3 linked regions of the Mus musculus genome follow. The protein of the gene in region 1 interacts with the protein of each later gene in a pairwise test. Links are inferred from orthologs where the notes say so. Each region holds a gene or a part of one and is shown in the gene's direction. Other genes may lie near its edges.

Region 1 (3,719 bases):
AGGTGTGGTGGCTCATACCTGTAATTCCAGCAAGTGGTAGGCGAAAAGCAGAAAAATAAAGAATTACATGGAATTGGGGCTGGTGAGATGGCTCAGTGGGTAAGAGCACCCGACTGCTCTTCTGAAGGTCGGAAGTTCAAATCCCAGCAACCACATGGTGGCTCACAACCACCCGTAATGAGATCCGATGCCCTCTTCTGGTGTGTCTGAAGACAGCTACAGTGTACTTTACATATAATAAATAAATAAATCTTTTAAAAAAAAAAGAATTACAGAGAATCAGAAGTTAACCTGTGCTGAACAGCAAGCATATCATTGCTTGAGTGTACCACGTTTTTCTTAAAGACTCCTCTGCCAATAAACAAAGGTTGTGTTCAAATATGTATGAGTTTTATTAAGAACAAACCCACCACCATCTCCACTTTACTGACAAACACACTAAAGTCCAGACAAGGGGAAAACATCACCAGAGGTCACACACTGAAAACTACTGCTGCTTCCAGTTCCCCTTTCCGTTCTGTATCCTTCAACTTATCCGTTCCTGCTAGTGTGTCCCTGCCGGCCCAGCTTTCTGCAGCAAGCCCCGGGCAAGCCAGCTGTCTCTCAACCTCAGCCTACAGGATTCTTGCAGGCTTCTTAGAGACAGCCAGCTTTCAACGCGGAGGCAGCGCTCCTTCAGACCCCCAGCCAGCAGGGGGAAGCGTAGCCACGGTCGCGGATAGCACCCGCTTGCTCTCTTCGTGGTGTTCCTTTTTTCTTGAGTCCCCCAAGACACTTCCGGGACACGCGGAACTTTGGTGCAGCCGGATGCTGCGCGCTGAGACGCTGGCTGAAAGGCGGCAGGCGGTGTTTCCGGCAGTGTTAGTGGTCCGCCTTGAAACGCCGTGGCCAAGGGAAAATGGAGACAATTTTAGAGCAGCAACGGCGCTATCATGAGGAGAAGGAACGGCTTATGGATGTTATGGCCAAAGAGATGCTTACGAAGAAGTCCACGGTGAGTGAGCCGTGGTCCGGGCCGCATCAGGAGGCGGGCCTGGGTCCTTTGCCGAGCCCTCGCGCTGTATTTGGCCTCGGAGCTTCTCTGCGCCCCATCCTCACCCTCCTCCTAAGCTGGCTCGGCACTCTGGCCTCGTTAACGTCCTCCGAGGGCCCCTCAATCTTCCTGCTTCAGCCCCTGGGACCTAAACCAATAAGCGCATCACCCCTCGGGTGCTCTTTCCAACTGCTAAACTCAAAGTAACAACGTATGTGTTACCGTTTGCCTTTCTGCAGCTTCGGGACCAGATCAATTCCGATCACCGCACTCGGGCCATGCAAGATGTGAGTGCGCCGCCGTCCGCTTCCCCTGGGGTCGGGCTGGGCGGGAAAAGTGCAGGCTGGGAAGGTTGAGTGGCCCTGCGTGATTTCTACCCCTGAGTTCTTAGACAAGCCCCTCTAGGGTACCTAATCAGATGTCCTATCTCTGCCTCCCAAGTGCTGGGATTAAAAGTGTATGCAACCACCTCGGGATCAAGCTGTCTCTTAAAAGTGGTGGAACTTTGAAGACCATGTATCTCATGAGTTTTCCTTGGGTTTTGCCAAGACATCCTTTCTTGTTTACTTAGCCCTGTGGTACAAATTTGCTTCATTCTGATGGCTTTGCGCTTCTGTTTCAGAGGTACATGGAGGTCAGTGGGAACCTGAGGGATTTGTATGATGATAAGGACGGGTAAGTGACGGTCACATCCCTTCTAACAATTAGTGCTTTTGAGGAGCCCTGGTGAGACCATGGGCTGTGTGCTTTATGCTCTTCGGGTTTGTTGATATCTTGCAGACTGCGGAAGGAGGAGCTCAATGCTATCTCAGGACCCAACGAGTTCGCTGAATTCTATAACAGACTCAAGCAGATAAAGGAATTCCATCGGAAGCACCCAAATGAGGTAAGGCCTCCCAACTTAGTGTCCTTAGACCTGGCCGTTAACAAAAGGGAAAGATGCAAAGGAAATGGAGCTATGCCATGTAGATGTCACTCCAAGAAAGAACGTGCCACTTCACTGCATGTTAAGTGACATCCTCTTGGCATCCCTCTGCAGTAAGAGAACACGGTGAAGCACTAGGGCTGCTTCACAAGAATGTCTCCTACTCAATATACTGTGCACCTAGCTCTGCCCTGAAATCTACCAACACAGTGGTGCTCTGTTCACTTGCAGAGGTCGTTACCCCTTCAGGATTCATGTCCAATGCCAGCTTTTTCGTAAAATATCTCTTGGACTGCCTCCTCCAAAGGAGCCCTTCCTTAGCATGCTGTGTTTTGTGCCAATCAATGTCTGCCCGGCTATGCAGCAAGGGAAGTGGAGAACACTAAGTAGGCAGCTCTGTACACTCAAGGTCAAAGCCAAAGCAAGTCTTAGAAGCCCAGGCCTGTGTGTGCCTGAGACATCGCCAGGCCCACCTGAACTCTTCTCCTTCCCTCAGATCTGTGTGCCAATGTCAGTGGAATTTGAGGAGCTGCTGAAGGCTCGAGAGAATCCAAGTGAAGAGGCACAAAGTAAGTAATGGTTACTGTTTCTTCCTGGGGCTTCAGGCCATTCTCAGCTATAGAGCTAGGACCTATGGCTTGGTTTTTTTTGTTTTGTTTTGTTTTTCAATCTGTTTTTATTTTGTCTGTGTGGGTAATTTGCCTGCATATATGTTTGTATACCGTGTGTGTGTGTGTGTGTGTGTGTGTGTGTGTGTGTGTGTGATGGCCTCAGGAAGCCAGGAGAGGGAATTGGATCCACTCCGACTGGAGTTACAAATGGTTTTGAGCTACCGTGTAGGGACTGGGACTCAAACTCAGGTGCTGTGCAAGAGCAGCCAGTATTTCTAAATGCTGAGCCACTTCTCTAGGTCCTAGAACGTCGTGTCTCTAAAAACAAATAAATAAAGGCTGATTGTGGTGGAGTATACATTTAATCTCAGCTCTCAGTAGTTCTCTGAGTTAAATAAATGCCAGACCTTTTATTTTTTTAATTGTATGGTGAGTTAACATCTTTTTTTTTTTTTTTAATTTGTTTATTTGTATCTGCATTGGTGTTTTGCCTACATGTATCTGTGTTTGAGGATGTCAGATCTCTGAGTGGAGTTACAGACAGTTGTGAACTGCCATGTGGGTGCTAAGAATTGATCCCAGGTCCTAATGAAGGCCACTCATTGCTCCTAACCATTGAGCTATCTCTCCAGCCCCATTTTTTTGTTTTGTTGTTTGTTTTGATGTGACAAGGTGTCTCTGTATAGCCCTGGAACTCACTCTATAGATCAGGTTGGCCTCGAATTCAGAGATGGCCTGCCTCTGCCTCTCTAGTGCAAGAATTAAAGGCGTTAAAAGTGTGTACCACTGCCCAGTTTGCTTTCTCTCTTCTTTTCTTTTCTTTTCTTTTCTTTTCTTTTTTTTTTCTTTCCTTTTCCTTTCCTTTTCCTCTCCTCTTCTCTTCTCTTCTCTTCTTTTCTTTTGTTCTTTCGTTCTTTCTTTCTTTCTTTCTAAAAGATGGGATCTCAGGGCTGGAGAGTTGGCTCAGTGGTTAAGAGCACTGACTGCTCTTCCAGAGGTCCTGAGTTCAATTCCCAGCAACCACATGGTGGCTACAGTATGCTCATATAAAGATAAGTAAATCTTTTTTTAAAAAGAAAGAAAGAAAAAAAGGGATCTCTCCATGTAGTACTGGCTATCTTGAAACCTGTTTGGACCAGGCTGGCCTCAG
Region 2 (3,653 bases), on another chromosome or scaffold:
TGGCTTACAATTGCAGGTATCTGGGTCCCTTGAGAATGATGGAGTCTGTTTCTCGGAGCAGGAGTGGGAGAACCTGGAGGACTGGCAGAAGGAGCTCTACAGAAATGTTATGGAAAGCAACTATGAGACGCTGGTGTCTCTGAGTGAGTGAAAGTTTTCTCCCTAAAATTCTCTCAGAGCTCTCCTGACTGCATGTCATCCTCTGAATCTTCTGCTGAGCTAAGGAATGATACCCTTCAGGTCCTCTCACCTGAAGAGACTTGAAAGTGTCTCGGGGATGAGCCTTTTATATTTCTTCTCTGGTAACAAAATGGCTTCTTGAGACTATTTGAATATCATTGATAAACTATAATATAGGTTTTTAATAACATCTCTATAAAGTATTTTATTAATTAGTTTCCTATCACTGTGTAAGAAACTATGACCGAGGCAGCTTAGAGAAGAGAAATGTATTTGGGGTTTATGGTTTCAGAGGGTTAGAGTCCTTGATGGCCAAGCAGAGATATCAGGGGTGGCAGTGGCTGGAACAACCCTGAGAGCTCATATCTTGAACCTCTAGCAGGATGCAGAGAAGACTAACTTAATCGAGACTTTAGAAATCTTAAATCCTGCCCCCATTGAGACGCCTCCTCTAACAAGGCCACACCTCCTGTTTCCAAACAGTTCTACCAACTGAAGACCAAGTTTTCAAACAAACGAGCCTAGGGGGCCATTCTCATTCAAAACACGATGTGTATATGCTATCTTTAATATTTAAGATTATTTGATGAGAAATCTTTTAACTTAGGAACCATTAAATGGATAGAAGTGCTTTCCATGCAAGCCTGATAACTGTCATTCGATCCCTGGAACCCGTGATGGGAGGGGACAACTGACTCCTTAAGTTGCCCTGTGCCACCACATGTGCACTGTGTTGCAGATGTATCCAGACTCTTAGATAGCATATACATATTATCTAATAATAAATAATAATATTTAATAATAAAATAAAAATTTAAAGGAATCTTGTATCTTGAGATGAGACATGCAGCACAGGCTGAAAAAAAACCTTTTTCTTGAGCTGGAGAGAAGGCTCAGCTGTTAAGAGCACTGACTGCTCTTTCAAAGGTCTTGAGTTCAAATTCCAGCAACCACATGGTGGCTCACAACTATCTGTAATGGGATCCAATGTCCTCTTCTGGGGTGTCTGAAGACAGCTACAGTGTACTTACATATAATAAATAAATAAATCTTTAAAGGGGGGGGGTGGCTGGAGAGATGGCTCAGTGGTTAAGAGCACTGACTGCTCTTCCAGAGTTTCTGAGTTCAATTCCCAGCAACCACATGGTGGCTAACAATCATCAGTAATGAGATCCAATGCCCTCATCTGGTGTGTCTGAAGACAGCTACAGTGTACACAAATACATAAAATAAACTCTTAAAAAAAAACCAAAAAAGCAAAAGCAGAAAAAACCTTTTTCTTGGCAGTAAGCCAGAGTCATCACCAGCCACTGTGATCTGCACATTGTTGGTAGACTGGAAGCACTGTGTGGAAGTGTTTAGTATAAAAATTACTAATACATACTCGATAATGCATGCATATTTTTCTTCTAAGACAAATTCTTTTCAAATGTGGGTCCTTGGAGAAATACCAAGGAGGCCCCTGGCTAGACCACAGTGAGGGCAAGGGAAGTGGGGTGACTGTTACCCCAGATGGGTTACATGCTCTCTTTGAGGCTGTTTTCCTGTGCCACGGTGCCTCCACAAGGCTGGAATTAGGCACTGTGGAAGGAATCCTTGGCGGAACTTCAGCTGTCTGGACAGAGGTGGGGGTGTTAGGGAGACAATGGCACCTAAGCCTAGTTACCTTAATGAAGGATCAAAGAGCAGCAGCCTGACAGTCCACTGGCCAGAAATGTCTAGGGAAAAGTGACAGTAACATCAGCTCTTATGTCCTCTTAGCTGTTAATATTGATTTGCTGTTAATATCATTTGTACATTGGCATCTGATCAGCATGCAGTAAGTTTTTCTTCTCCTGGATTTATACTGTATTTTTTCTAACCCAGAGGTCCTTGGCCAGCCAGAGGAAGAAGTGGAGTTGGGTGCAGAGATGGTGGGTGACTTGGTGGAAGAAGGTACCCACCTGGGTGAGTAGTTCTAGAATGTTCTTCTGCATTGTTTCTCCATCCCTGTATGGGAACTCTGTAGGTTCCCATAACTAATAGGGAGCTTTCACACGGCTGAACTGGCACGTGCAGGTTGTGGACTTTTGTTTGGTTTTTAAAGGTTTATTTTTATATGTATGCAGGGATGACTATGTGACTGTGTTGGTGGGGGGTGGTTATCCACAGAGGGCAGAGGAGGGCATTGGATTCTCTAGAGCTGGAATTGCAGGTGACCGTGAGCCACCTGGTGTGGGTGTTGGAAACAAGTGCTCTTGTTTAGTGGCCATCTCTCCTGCCTCTGCTTGTTTTCGAGGCAAGTCTTACGATGTAGTCCACAATAGCCTAGATTCTTTGCAGCTCAGGCTGACTTTGAACTCATGATGCTCCCAATTCTTCATCCTGGGAGGGATTACAGTTAAGAACTACCACAACCTTTTTAGGTGACTCTAACAGCAGTTCTCACCTGTGGGTTGTGACCCCTCTGGGGATCGAACAACTCTTTCACAGCGGTCACCTAAGACCACTGGAAAACACGGATATACATTATGATTCTGAACAGTACCAAAATTACAGTTATGAAGTAGCAATGATATTAATTTATGGTTGGGGGTCACCACAACATGAGGAACTATAAAAGGGTCACAGCACTAGGAAGGTTGAGAACCACTGCTTTTTAACTGTTATAGGTCTGCTAGCCTTTGTAGTGGTGTAGATTGTGTAGCATGCTTTGGCATGCACTATAAGTAGTAGGCATAATAGGCTGTGGTCAGAGTGAGAGATGGAGAATGAGTAGTGAGTCACAGAGAGAGAGACACTAGGAAAGGCATTTGAGCGGAATATCCAGGAAGAAAACTGGCTATGTGATCATTGTATTGTATTATCTGTGTATGAGTGCTTTACCTGTATGTAGGCTACATGCTTACAGCAAAGAGGTTATCAGGCCCCTTGAAACTGGAGTTACTGATGGTTGTGAGCCACCATGTAGGTGCTGGGAATTGAACCTGGTCCTGTGCAAGAACAGCTGGGACTCTAACTGCTGAGTCATCTCTCCAGCCTTGGATGTGATTTTTAAATTGTATGTTTAGTGAGTTGAATGCAGGGCCTTTCGCTAGGTCTGCATCTGCAGCTGGGCTTCATTCGCAGCCTCTTTTTTAAAAACCTTTTTAAATTTTTCAGATAGGGTCTGAGTTGCCCACAGTGGTCTTAAACTCTCTTTGTAGCCTAAGCAATCTAGTAACTTGTGATCCTCTGAGTAGCTGAGATTATAGGCCTGAATCACCAGGCTCAGGTTCAAATTTGTTACTTTACCAATTTTGAATTAATCAGTTGTTAGTGTATTTTGTAATTTTTTTCCACAGAGATTAAGTACCAGTTTGTAGACAGGGATGGAGAAATTATAACAAAGTTGTTCTCTATGAGTAAGCTACTCAGATCTCTTCCAGATGGTTCTCATTCAGCTGTTCCTAAGGAGTGTTGATTTGAGCCTTCTAAAGTCTGCAGTATTTTCT
Region 3 (3,653 bases), on another chromosome or scaffold:
GATGATCAAACCTGGATGGCTTTCAGTATAACCAGAGAAGTTCCTAGAGATGATGAACAGGCATCTGACTTCTCTATTTCTTCTTTTCTCTTCTAGGACATCACAAAGCTCATAGAGAGGCAAGTGTTTCTTCATGGTTCTCTCTACCCTCCTTCTTCTACCCCTGGAGAATGTCTAAAACTAAACTGTTTGTGTGTCCCTTACAGCATGGAGAAAGGAATGAAGACAATTGTACCTAGACAGCTCATCGCCAAAAAGCTGAGCCTAGGCCGCTTCAAAGGTCCTATCCAGTATATCATCTGGAAGGAAATGCAGGCTATTCTCTCTCCAGGTATAGTGGGAAGGAGCTATTGAGTCCTATGGCCCCTAATCTATATTTCATCTGTGGCCAGAGTTAGTTCTGTAGTTTGAGAGAGGATGGAGATGGACTTGGGTGGAGTTTAGTCAAAAAGATCTTTTTCTTCTTCTCCTGCTACTATGATTTAAGAATATGTGTCTTTGAACTAATAATACATAAAAGTCTGATATTAGAATTACTCCTCAGCCTGATTTTGTTTGATCTATAATGTGTGGAACTAGCCACAATTTTATCTTGTTTTGCTACATCAGCTGTATGAATTCTTGCAGATATCAGAGGACTGAACAGGACAAGATTAACACAAGTGGTATTATTTCAAGAAAAAGAAATAATATTCTAGATAAGATATATATAAAAATAAGAATTTAGATAGCTTTTATAGAAGTCATATATCTAATATTATTGTTTCTTATTAACCTAGTTAAAATCATAAATATATCCCTGATACATTTTCCAGATGACTAACACTGAAAGAAACTGACTTCACTGAAGTATAATTAATATAGCAGAATCTGCCACTTTTACCTAAATATATGCAGTGCACAAACTGATGAGTTTTGACAAACATGTAAATATCTCTGTGATCAAGACAGAGATAGATGAGGGCTGGAGAGTTGGCTTAGCATTGAACAAACCCAAGGATCTGAGTTTGGATCCTTAGTGCCTACGTAAAAAGCCAGGCATGGCGGCATACAACTGTAGCCCCAGCACTGGGGATGAGGTTGGGGAAAAATGTAGTTCTTATAAGATCTGCAGGCCAGACAGTTGGGCTGAGTGAATTCCAGATTCAGTAAGAAACCTGCCTCAAAAAATAAGATGGAGAGTGATGAGGAAGATACTTATAGGAGACCTCTGATAGCCACATGCACATCTCTGGGCATACCTATACACACACAGACACAGACAACACACAGACAAAGACACACACACACCAACACACACACACACACACACACACACACACACACACACACACACACACACACAGGCGCTTGAACATTTCCACAAGTCTCTTTGCAATTAGTTCTTTCTGTATAGCTCCAGCCCTTACTCCTTGCTAATCTGCTTTATTTCAGGTTTGATGTGTCTTTTTGAATTTTTAATTTAATGCAGATCACACATGCCAGTATTTTGTATCTAGACTTTTGTACAAAGCACAGTGCTTCCCTTGATTCACCTTTGTTGCACATGGCAGTAATTTTGTTTAATGGATACATCACAATGTGTTTACCTATTCTCCAGCTGATGGACATTTGGGGAGATTACACTTCAGGCTATAATAAATAAAGTTGTGTGGATCTGTTTACAGATCTTTGAGGTGAAGACTTAGTAGTGGGGTTGAAGATGTGCATTTAATTTTATAAGAAATTGTCAATTCTTTTTCTTCCTCAAATGGAGAAATTGTTTTATATTTCCTCCTGCAATGAATGATGAAACCATTTTTCTACATTCTTAAAAAACCTGATATTGTCAATCTTTCTAATTATAACTATTTAAGCTTAAATATAGTAACATTTCATTTTTTAAATGTATACATTTCTAATGTTCAATCCCACTGAAAACCTCTCCATGTGCTTCTCTGCCATTCCTAGTTGGTGAAATATATTTAATCTTTTGACCACACTTTTGTTGATTGTCTTAACATAAATTATAAACAAACAAATCCTTTATTAGCCATGCTTGTTAAAAGGGATTTAAAGAAACAAAACAAAACAAGACAAAACAGTGTGTCTGTGTATGAATTTGTTTTCCTGAGTGTGGCTTTTAACAGAGGCCAGGAAAAGGTATTGGTTCCCCTGGCAGTTGTATGTTGTCTGATGTGGATGCCGGATCAGAGCTCCTCTGCAAGAGAAGGACTATGTGCTCTTAAGCGCTGCGCTGTCTTTCCATCCAGCCACAAGTTTCTCATTAGCTCAGGCTGACCAAGAGTTCTTTTTTTTTTTTTGGTGTTGGTTTGTTTGTTTATTTGTTTGTTTGTTTGTTTGTTTGTTTGTTTGTTTTTGAGACAGGGTTTCTCTGTGTAGCCCTAGCCATCCTGAAGCTCACTCTGTAGATCAGGCTGGCCAAGAATTTAGAAATCTGTCTGCCTCTGCCTCCCTAGTGCGCCACCACTGCCCGGCTTGGCCAAGAGTTCTTATGTGGCCAAGGGTGATCTTGAGCCCCTGATCCTGATGTTTCCACCTCCCAAGCGTTAGGATTATAGTCATATACCTGACTTAAAACCCTAAACAGCAGCGACAACAGCAAAACCAGGATCTTGCTATATTGCTCAGGCTGGCCTTGAACTTAGGATTTTCTGCTTCAACCTTCAGAGTTACAGGTGTGTACTACTGCTTCAACTAAATTTTAGTTGACACATGGTATTTGTATATATATTTATAGGATACAATATAATATCCAATGCACATATGCAACATATAAAAATTAAACTATGGTAAACAGAATTTCTATCTCCTCAAACATTTACACTTCTCTGTGTTGGAAACTTTTTTTGGAGACCTTTCAGTTGTTTAAAAATATATAATAAAGTCTGTGTCTATAGCTCAGGAAGTGAGTGCTGGCCTAATATGTACAAAGCCCTGGGTCCAGTCTCTAGCACTGCCAACAAAACCAAATCAAGCCACTAAAACATATATGTACATCTATATAATAAATTATTGCAGGTTATGATTACCATATTGTGCTATAAAATTCTGAAATTAACATCTATCTCCTTGTCCTTTTGTACCTGCTATCCATTATCCTTCTAACCTTCCCAGACTCCAGTGATCATGAGTCTATTTATATGAGGCAAACTATGTTAGCTTCTACATATTTTAATAAAAAAAAACTTCATCTGTCATGGAATTCTATTATTATAGACTACAATATAAATTAATTACTTACAATTGTGAAATTAAAGATTTTTTACAAAGTACAAGCCTGAGGCCAGGCAGTGGTGGTACACACCTTTAATCCCAGAACTTGGGAGGCAGAGGCAGGCAGATTTCTGAGTTCAAGGCCAACCTGGTCTACAAAGTGAGTTCCAGGACAGCCAGGGCTACACAGAGAAACCCTGTCTTGAAAAACTAAAACAAATCAAAACAAAACAAAACACAAAAACAAAAACAAAGTACAAGCCTGATTTTATCTCATTTATTTATTTACTTATTCATTTATTTGGATTTTTGAGGCAGTGCTCTCCTGGAACTTGCTCTGTAGGACCAGGCTGGTCTCAAACTCAGATATCCACCTGCCTTTGTCTCCCGAGCACTGTAATTAAAGGTGTGTGGCAAGCCTGGCTTTATAAATACCA

Evidence for each region.
Region 2: the proteins of Sf3a3 (region 1) and Zfp212 interact in binary tests that used the Homo sapiens proteins (3 or more experiments, as listed by UniProt). The two-hybrid records come from large-scale screens. The link is inferred for Mus musculus from reciprocal best matches to the Homo sapiens genes SF3A3 and ZNF212.
Region 3: the proteins of Sf3a3 (region 1) and Trim69 interact in binary tests that used the Homo sapiens proteins (3 or more experiments, as listed by UniProt). The two-hybrid records come from large-scale screens. The link is inferred for Mus musculus from reciprocal best matches to the Homo sapiens genes SF3A3 and TRIM69.

What each region holds. Positions count from the first base shown.
Region 1 is NC_000070.6:124,713,997-124,717,715, forward strand, and holds the start of Sf3a3 (splicing factor 3A subunit 3), read left to right. Parts: upstream 1-864; 5' UTR 865-898; coding exon 899-994; intron 995-1,272; coding exon 1,273-1,320; intron 1,321-1,655; coding exon 1,656-1,708; intron 1,709-1,813; coding exon 1,814-1,919; intron 1,920-2,454; coding exon 2,455-2,527; intron 2,528-3,719. UniProt on the Homo sapiens protein: Component of the 17S U2 SnRNP complex of the spliceosome, a large ribonucleoprotein complex that removes introns from transcribed pre-mRNAs.
Region 2 is NC_000072.6:47,927,004-47,930,656, forward strand, and holds part of Zfp212 (zinc finger protein 212), read left to right. Parts: intron 1-16; coding exon 17-143; intron 144-2,046; coding exon 2,047-2,127; intron 2,128-3,653.
Region 3 is NC_000068.7:122,174,144-122,177,796, forward strand, and holds part of Trim69 (E3 ubiquitin-protein ligase TRIM69), read left to right. Parts: intron 1-96; coding exon 97-119; intron 120-206; coding exon 207-331; intron 332-3,653.